2 linked regions of the Tribolium castaneum genome follow. The protein of the gene in region 1 purifies or fractionates together with the protein of each later gene. This does not show direct contact. Links are inferred from orthologs where the notes say so. Each region holds a gene or a part of one and is shown on either strand. Other genes may lie near its edges. The genes, in order: gamma-glutamyl hydrolase and calnexin.

What was found.
Region 2: the proteins of gamma-glutamyl hydrolase (region 1) and calnexin purify together in Homo sapiens (affinity purification with mass spectrometry; 3 studies listed by BioGRID and IntAct, with this or other methods). This does not show direct contact. The link is inferred for Tribolium castaneum from reciprocal best matches to the Homo sapiens genes GGH and CANX.

Annotation. Positions count from the first base shown.
Region 1 is NC_087394.1:32,517,109-32,521,512, reverse strand, and holds the start of gamma-glutamyl hydrolase, read left to right. Parts: upstream 1-1,557; 5' UTR 1,558-2,508; coding exon 2,509-2,623; exon of another isoform or gene 2,624-2,661; intron 2,662-3,115; exon of another isoform or gene 3,116-3,383; coding exon of another isoform or gene 3,384-3,435; coding exon 3,436-3,568; intron 3,569-3,619; coding exon 3,620-3,670; intron 3,671-3,721; coding exon 3,722-3,948; intron 3,949-4,404. Other genes in the region: pentatricopeptide repeat-containing protein 1, mitochondrial, read right to left, coding at 1-880. UniProt on the Homo sapiens protein: Hydrolyzes the polyglutamate sidechains of pteroylpolyglutamates. Progressively removes gamma-glutamyl residues from pteroylpoly-gamma-glutamate to yield pteroyl-alpha-glutamate (folic acid) and free glutamate.
Region 2 is NC_087402.1:5,190,045-5,194,439, reverse strand, and holds the start of calnexin, read left to right. Parts: upstream 1-1,558; 5' UTR 1,559-1,754; exon of another isoform or gene 1,755-1,759; intron 1,760-1,762; exon of another isoform or gene 1,763-1,857; intron 1,858-2,043; 5' UTR 2,044-2,062; coding exon 2,063-3,289; intron 3,290-3,972; coding exon 3,973-4,113; intron 4,114-4,342; coding exon 4,343-4,395. Other genes in the region: nSMase (putative neutral sphingomyelinase), read left to right, coding at 52-83, 131-304, 351-534, 583-1,374. UniProt on the Homo sapiens protein: Calcium-binding protein that interacts with newly synthesized monoglucosylated glycoproteins in the endoplasmic reticulum. It may act in assisting protein assembly and/or in the retention within the ER of unassembled protein subunits.

The sequences.
Region 1 (4,404 bases):
CAATTCGCTTGTCTACCATTTTGCGCCAGAGCAACAAAGCGTGGCGAAAGCCCGCTTCCCTGTCCTGGATGCAAGCTTGCAGCAGGAAGTTCATCGTATCTCCGGTGATTTTGACTTTTTTCGCGGCCATTTCGTCAACTAATTTGAACGCAGCTGGGAGGTCACCACAGCGCCCGAACGCTTTGATCATGGCGTGATAATTTGTGTCGTTCGGTTCGTACATTTTCTCTATCATTATGTTTTGCAGCTTTCGGGCTCTGGTTAGGCCGTCTTCTGGCCAGGGGCTGTTGGCACAGGCGTTGAACAACGCTGTGTACGTGCCAGCTGTGATTTTCAAGCCGCGTTTTTTCATCTGGTTGTAGACAGAAAACGCCTTTTTCGTGTACCCCACACGGCCGCAAGCGCCGATTAATAAATTGTAGATGTAATTTTCTGGCTTGACTTTGTCTTCCTTGATCATTTTCACCTCAACCACGTCGATTGCTTCCTTGATTTTGTGTTGCTTGATCAGTGCTTTTATCATGTCGGCGTACTGTTTTGTGCTTTGCCGTTTCAAGGGGATTGTTTTTTCGGACCAGTCCTTTTCCTCTTCCAGGTCTTTTTCGTAAATTTCCTCCCTTTCTTCGGGGTCGCCAAAGGTGTCAGGGTCATTTTTGAGACGTACTAAAAACTCCTGCTCGGTTTTTTCTTGTGGAATATTTGCAGCATGTGAGAATAATCGTGTGTTGGAGGTTAGAACTTCGGTTTGGGCATTTTCCCGAAATTTACAGTTTAGCAGGTGTGGGTATTGCTTAATATTTAGCAATGTATTTGCTTTTTGTGGCTTGCCACTTTTTACGGCTTGTTGTGCCAGAAATTTTAATAATTTTAAACGATACATTTAATTTTTTGCTTCCATAACCTCAAAACACAATTGCTGACAATTGACAGGTTCCAGCTGTGCCAACACATGAGGCAAAAAATTCAAAATATTTTTTTCAATAATAATTAAATTGTCGTTTTGGAGATAAGGTAGTCTTAAAGATAAGATTATAATTAGTCTTCTTAAAGACATTAATATTTTTTGTATAAAAATTATCTGGTTTAACAATAAAATGTAGTTTTTTTCATATTATTACAGGAAAAGACTGATACTTGCCTTATTTTCTCTATTTTTAATAGTTTTGCTTCATAAGAATTTTACCGGGAGTGAGTATAGTAATTAATGCGTTTCAAGGTTGGCGCACATGCGACGTCGGGCGTCGCGACGTTGGTCGTCGATTTTAGCAATGACGTAGCAATATTAACGTTAAAATCACCTTCACGACCTCAAAGAAACTGCGGTATTAGAGTTAATTCAAGAATTTAATCACAAACGAGAGACATATTACATAATTTATTTGGGTAACATAAATTTATTAATTTTAATTTATTAATGTCTTTTCTGACTTTAAAGGTAATATGTCAAGAGTAATTTTCTTAAAATTCTGGCGTCAGAATATTTATTGTTTGCTGCAAATTTGAGCTATCATAAATATGACTGGTAAGAACCTAACATTTATACACGTAATTTAGTTTTTTCATCAGTAAAACAAGTTGGAGACTGTTACATAACAGTCAGTGCGTTTCTTAATTCTAATTTTGATTCACATTTTGTTCTTGTATTTTTAATAAAAGAGGCGTTTGGCAACAGCTTAATTTTCGGCAGTTTTTTTTTCTGCTCCTTCTGCAGCTGCAAAAGACGTTATTTAACAAACTGACTTTACTTAATTTATTTAAAAGCAGTTTGTTGTGACTAGGATTGTGACCAATATTGTTTTATTTGTAACGAGAATTCACATTCCTTAAACTAGGCACAAGCGAAAGAACGATATTTTACATAAATACAAAGATAAATGACAGTTTGTTCAGATGATATGGACTATTATATATTTAAATATTTTAATAAAAGAAATGTGTCATGTTTGGGGAAACGCTCTTTGAATTTTCCTCCAACGGTAGGTGAATTGGATTGACCTTTGACCCTTGCTTTGACCGTTTTTGCACAAAATGGCAATAGAATTACATTACATAACGTCAGAACCAGAATAGACCAATTGATTTTAAGCTGAACTTGTAGTGCAATTATTATAGCACTTAGCACCTACATTCCGAAATAATTACCTAAAAAATGCAGTAATGAATGAATTAATTTTTTGCGAATCCAAAAAAGCATGAATTAATCTCTGCAGGAAAATATTCATTCCCCGACTGCAGAATGAATTGAAGTGTGAGATTTATACAGTGGGAGAAATTGGCTATAAAAAAGTTAATAAAATAATGCTCGGGGTGAAAAGTTTATTTAGAGTGGACGATGATCCTAATTAATTTTTGTTCGAAGGTTAGTGACTAGTGTTCGAGTAACATTTGAATAAATATTTGCCTAAGAATTTGTCTTTTAATTTTTTGAATTCTCACAACTGTTATGTTTATTTCTGCTCGTCTGCTCGTCAGCCTTGAAATACTAATATTTCCTTTAATTGATGTTTTATGTTTACCAACCGTGCCTACGAATGGTGTTTAGAGTCATGTTTTAATCTGCAATGTCATAATTTTTGTAAACGTAATCAGCAATTTGCCCAAAATCATAACATAATGTTCGAAGGTGCGTAAATGCAACGTATTACTTTGATTTTTCGAAGGGTAAGTATATTTTTTAATTATTCAACTCCATTTATTTATATTTCAAGTATTCAGAACTGGGTCAAAACGCATTATGTACTCACTTTATTTTATTTAAAAGGCTTTGTTTGTGGAGCAATCAAATGCAAACATTTTTTAATTGGGTCAAAGATGTGTAGGTACTTTTTTCGAGGAAAGCGAATTAATTTAATTCTAAAAAGCATTTTGTTTATCTTTGTGATGCGTAGTCGTATTTTTACGTTTTTATTTGTACATAAATATTTGAAATTTTCGGAATTACTGCAAACTCTTACTCCGTATTTTGTTACAAAATTGTTTACACGTTCTATTGACCAGCTGAAATAATAAAAAAAAGGTATAATTTTTATTAAGCTGCACGTCTTGCAAATAACTCGTGTCCAACATTTGTGATCTCTATTTTTGTTTGTTACAGAACGGATTATTTAAAGTATTCCCTCCACTGTACAAATTAAAATAAACTATTTTACCAATTTGTTTTTTATTTCCGCTATTCACTGACAACAATAGTTTATCTTTCTCCGTGCCGCTGTTGTAAAAACAAATCGCTGATAAGTAAAATTTTGAACAAGCTATTGATTTACAAAATGTTTCCACACTCGTTTTGTTTGTGGAGAGATAAATACTCGTACTGTTCCTCTTTTAGATAAGCTGTCTCAGCTGTTTTGTAAACGCGATATGTTAGTAGACGATAGACTTTCACCATGTTCCAATATCTATTAATTCTCTCTCTCACGAGTTACATAAATGCTGCAGAGACTCCCATCATTGGGATTTTATCCCAAGAAGCTTATTTAGTTAAGGATGCTTATCCAGACGCCGACAGCTTCATCGTAGCTTCTTACATAAAAATCCTCGAAAGTAGCGGTGCTCGAGTTTTGCCCATTTGGTAAACAGTCCCATATTTCTAATACTTTGAATTGCCAAATCTATTTTCCAGGATCGGCCAAGATGCGGCTTATTACGAACGGGTGGTGAATTATACCAACGGGTGAGTTTGTGCTAAATAATCAGTAATCACCATAACTCCATAATTAACCAGCATTCTATTTCCCGGCGGAGGGACCTACTTTAATGAGACGGGAGGTTATGGCGAGGCAGCAAAACAGCTTTATGAATTAGCCGTCAAAACTAACGAGAAGGGAGTTCATTACCCTCTGTGGGGCATATGTTTGGGTATGCAGGTGCTGATGTATGGGGCGGTGGGCAGGGACATCCGAGGCAATTGCCAATCGAAGGACGTAGCTTTGCATCTGGAGTTTGTCGCAGGTTAATTTTTTTTAATTGTGTTGAAATTTTGATCATTTTTGTCCTGGTTTATTGTCCCGGTTAACTCGGAGGGATTTGTTCTTGCTGTCCTAATTAAAGGACATACACGAGACTTCGTGAGGTGAAACAAAAGATAAACATGTCGTGGTGTTTGACCTTTGCCTGTAATTAGTTATTACGTTCTTCCGACTTGGACTAGAAAGCAAATTATTGCCACCTACCTGCAATATTACACTGCATTATTTACCCTCTTCGTTGCTACTAAATTTTAGCAACTTCCTTATTTCCCGTGCTTTTACGAGTGTGTTTGAGAACAACACAAGTTTTTATTTGGGGGTTTAATTGGCGTACGCATTTAATTACATTTATTTATAATTACACAATTAATTACATAACAAATTCAAGCCTATAGTAGCTGTGTTATTACGTTGCATGCGTTTTATTAAATAACGCAAT
Region 2 (4,395 bases), on another chromosome or scaffold:
TTAGATCTATTTCGCAAAAATACTTCTATAAATCTATCATTTTCTGTAATAATGGAGTTTAAAGTGTTTACTTTGAATTGCTGGTAAGCTGTCATGTGATTTATGTTACAAAATTGCACAAAATTCTTAGGGGCCTTGCGGTGGTCTCCAAGAACCGAAGACACCGAATGCAGGCAATAGCTGAGAAGTTGGCGACTAGCCAGTACGATGTAGTTTGCCTCCAAGAGATATGGCTTGACTCTGACTACCAGTTAATCAGAAACAAAGTCTCAGGGGTGTTACCATACTCTCACTATTTTTACAGGTAAATTCAAAAATTCAGTTGAAACAAGCGTAAAGGTGAGTTGTAGCGGAGTCACGGGCTCTGGCGTTTGTATTTTATCGCGACACCCGATGGAGGACGTTTTTTTCCACCAATGGCCAGTAAATGGTTACATTCATAAAATCCACCATGGTGACTGGTTTGGTGGAAAGGGCGTGGGTTTATGTAAATTAAAGGTGAACAATTACACCGTCAACGTCTACTCTGCACATGTAAGATTTATTTTGCTTGATGAACAACACAAAGAGTAATAATTTTAGTTGCACGCAGAATACGACCGAAATTGTGATGAATACCAAGCTCACAGAGTGCTCCAATCTTTCGATACCGCTCAATTTATCCAAATGACGTCTGGAGACGCCGACCTAGTAGTCCTGGCCGGGGACTTAAATACCGAACCTGGAGATTTAGCCTACAGGATAATGTTGAGTGTTCCGGGACTTGTAGATGCGTTTGGTGAAGCTGGAGAAACGGTGCAGAATTGTGTGGCGACAAATGAAAGCCTCACTAATAGTTACACACCCGTGGCCTTACTCAAGAAAAACATTCCTGGCAAAAGAATCGACTATATCATGTATCATCCAGGCTCAAGTTTACAAATCGATTTAAAAAGCTACACATTGCCGTTACCACACAAAATCCCCGGATGTGCGTACAGTTACTCGGACCATGAAGCAATCGCTGCGACTTTAATCGTCACAAAGAGCGAGATAAGGTCGCTGAAAAGCGACCAACACATGAAGAAAACTGTCCTTGAAGAGAGCATAGAAATCTGTGATGACGCACTCAGGGGCTTGAATAACCATAAATATTTGTACTGGTTTTTTACGTTCGTTTTAATCGTGTTGCTGGTTACGACACTTGCAACTGACCTACCTTTCGGCTACAATCTGAATTTTATTTACCACATTTTGAAAATTTTAATCACCCTTTTTATGTTTTACACTTTGATGATGGCAACTATCTGGAATAAAATCGAACGTCATGCTGTGATTGCGGGCAAGTTGGGAATGGAGACAGCTTTGAGGAAATTAAAAGCCAAAGATTTGTAATTATATCAGGGCCAAAACAAGCTCAGTATTTTAAATCAAAGACCAACACCTGTTGCTCATTTTTTATTTGGTTTGTACGACTGTGATCGTTTCTGTACCACTGGTGAATAAAGTTTTCATTTTTTAACTGTTTGTACTTTTTTTCCCCGCCTATTTTTGAACTGAGCGCAACTTTGCCATCTGTTTGACGCTGATTGGTCGGCGAATTTGTGTTTATTCTCTTCATAAATGCGGTGTATTACGTGGTGTTCAAGAACTACAATAAAAATAATCTGATAATAAATGAAATACAGCCTAAGTAAACACCAATTTGAGTTAAGACTGTGGTGCTGAAGCTAGTGTTGTAAGAGTGCTGTGTAAAACTACTTCCGGATTTTGAGGTTAGGTATGTCATTTTATTTTGTCGGTCTCTAGAATTTTAATTATTTCATCGTGAAGTCGGCTTTTTTGTGCATTTTGTAGTAATAGCGTGTCGATAGTTGGGTAAGAGAGTGCGTTTTTGTCGATATTTGGCGTAATTTCGTAACTAATCGATTGGGAAGTGCGTTCACTAACCTTTCAGGTTAATTTTTTAAATTGGATTAGTCCCTGACTTATATTAGTAAATACTGCTTCCGTTTCGTCATCCTGTAATCACGACACATAATTAGTGCCCGGTTTGGTTTGCAGGACAATATATGATCACAAAATGCTTAGAAGTCTCGTTCCGGCAGTAATCACGTTATTGTTGATATTTTCGGCGGTAAAATGTGACGAAGTGGACGATTCTGACGAGGCTACTGTGGAAGTAGAACCGGAAGAATCACACATTGATATCCCCTACGAAAGTCCGAGCCCCCTTGACCCGAAAAAGGTCTATTTCGCCGAGCATTTCGACGATCCAGACCAGTTTGCGAAACGTTGGATAAAATCCCAAGCGAAGAAAGAAGGGATTTCCGAAGACATCGCAAAATACGACGGTGAATGGCAACTTGAACCAACCCAAAAAGACAGTCTAGTGGGCGACAAAGGTTTAGTGCTTAAATCAAAGGCTAAACACGCTGCTATTGCCTCCTCTCTCCTAAAACCGTTTATTTTTGATACTAAACCATTAATCGTGCAATATGAAGTAATATTCCAAGACGGCCAAGAATGTGGCGGAGCCTACTTGAAGCTGCTCACCCAGGACTCCGCCAGTAAAAACTTGAACAACTTCCACGATAAAACCCCCTACTCGATCATGTTCGGCCCCGACAAGTGCGGTAACGACCACAAGCTCCACTTTATCTTCAAGCACCGCAACCCTCTCAACGGGAGCGTCGAGGAAAAGCATTGCAAAAAACCCAAAGACCGCATTGAGGAAGTCTTCTCCGACAAACTCCCCCACTTGTTCACCCTTGTCCTGCACCCTGACAACACCTTCGAGATCCTAATCGACAACAAAGTGGTCAATTCGGGAAGTTTGCTTGAGGATTTCACCCCGGCAGTGAATCCTCCGAAAGAAATTGACGATCCTAATGACAAGAAACCTGAGGATTGGGATGAAAGGGAGAAAATCCCTGACCCAGATGCCGTGAAACCTGACGATTGGGATGAGGATGCGCCGGCTCAGATTGTTGATGAATCAGCGGTGAAACCGGAAGGTTGGCTGGATAATGAACCGTCGCATGTTTTCGATCCTGATGCAAAGAAACCAGAAGATTGGGATTCGGAAATGGACGGGGAGTGGGAACCACCGCTTATTGATAATCCCGCTTGTAAGGATGCTGTCGGGTGTGGGCCTTGGGAGCCCCCACTTATCAATAATCCCGATTATAAGGGGAAGTGGAGGGCGCCGCTTATCGATAATCCTAATTATAAGGGGAAGTGGAGGCCCAGGAGGATCCCCAATCCCGAGTTCTTCGAAGATAAGCATCCCTTTAAAATGCAGACTGTTGTAAGTAAATGGTTAAAAAATTATCTTGTTTATGTAACTGTAATTATTGGTGCCGATATGTTTACATTATTTTTTCTTCTTGTTCAAATTTATCAGTTGATTTTGTACACTATTAGAACATAGTTTACAAATCTGCAGTCAAAATTTGGCTGTCAGCTCTAGTTTCCTCTCCAGTTTCCAGAATTTGTGAAAAGTATATTTCGATATGCTTTGTACAAAAATAACAAATTCTGAGCTTCTAATTTTGTTAGCAATTTTTTTAGAGTGCCTAGGACAGTGAGAAAATGGTAAAAGAATTGCCTCTTGATAAAATTGAGCCAACTTGAAATTGACACATTTATTTTTGCGATTTTTTTTTATTATCTTTGGTTTTTGGCAGAATTGTAGTTGTTTAATTTCCATATTTTTACCGAAACTGCGTATTTGATTATTGCATTGTTGCCTTCAACAAAACATGTTGCAAAAAAGAATTGTTTGTGTCACTACAAAAGGATTTAGTTGCTATGTGAGATATGCTAACTAAGGAAGTAATATATACTTAGCCACACCCAATCGTTTTTATGCTTATTTTGGCGAATTTGCGTTCGTATTGTGATAAAAATGTTTTGTAAACCTAAATAAAGAATTGTATTTTTGCAATTCATTCAAGATTAATTTATCTTTGGACAAATAACTTTTTTCAGACCGCTGTTGGATTTGAGTTATGGTCAATGTCAAAGGACATTTTCTTCGACAATATTATTATTACCGACGATATTACCGTTGCGAACCATTGGGCAGACGCCACTTTTGAAAAAAAGAAGCAAAAGATCGCCAAGGATTCGGTTAGTATCTGTTTAATTTAAATGAATTTTATTATATTTGTGATTTTTTACTAAATAAGAGGACACTGTGGGGTCGTCTTATGAAAAAGTTAAACTATAAACCTGTACCGTGGTTCTTATATTTCGTTTATTGCGCCATACCGGTTTGTTGTTACATATGGTACCTCTACTTCTGCATTCAAGAGGTATTTTCGTACTGCTAGTTATAGTTTTCTTTGTTTTGACATAGGAAAGCGTAATTCAAAAATTAGCTACCTTGACCAATGATTACCCTTGGCTTTG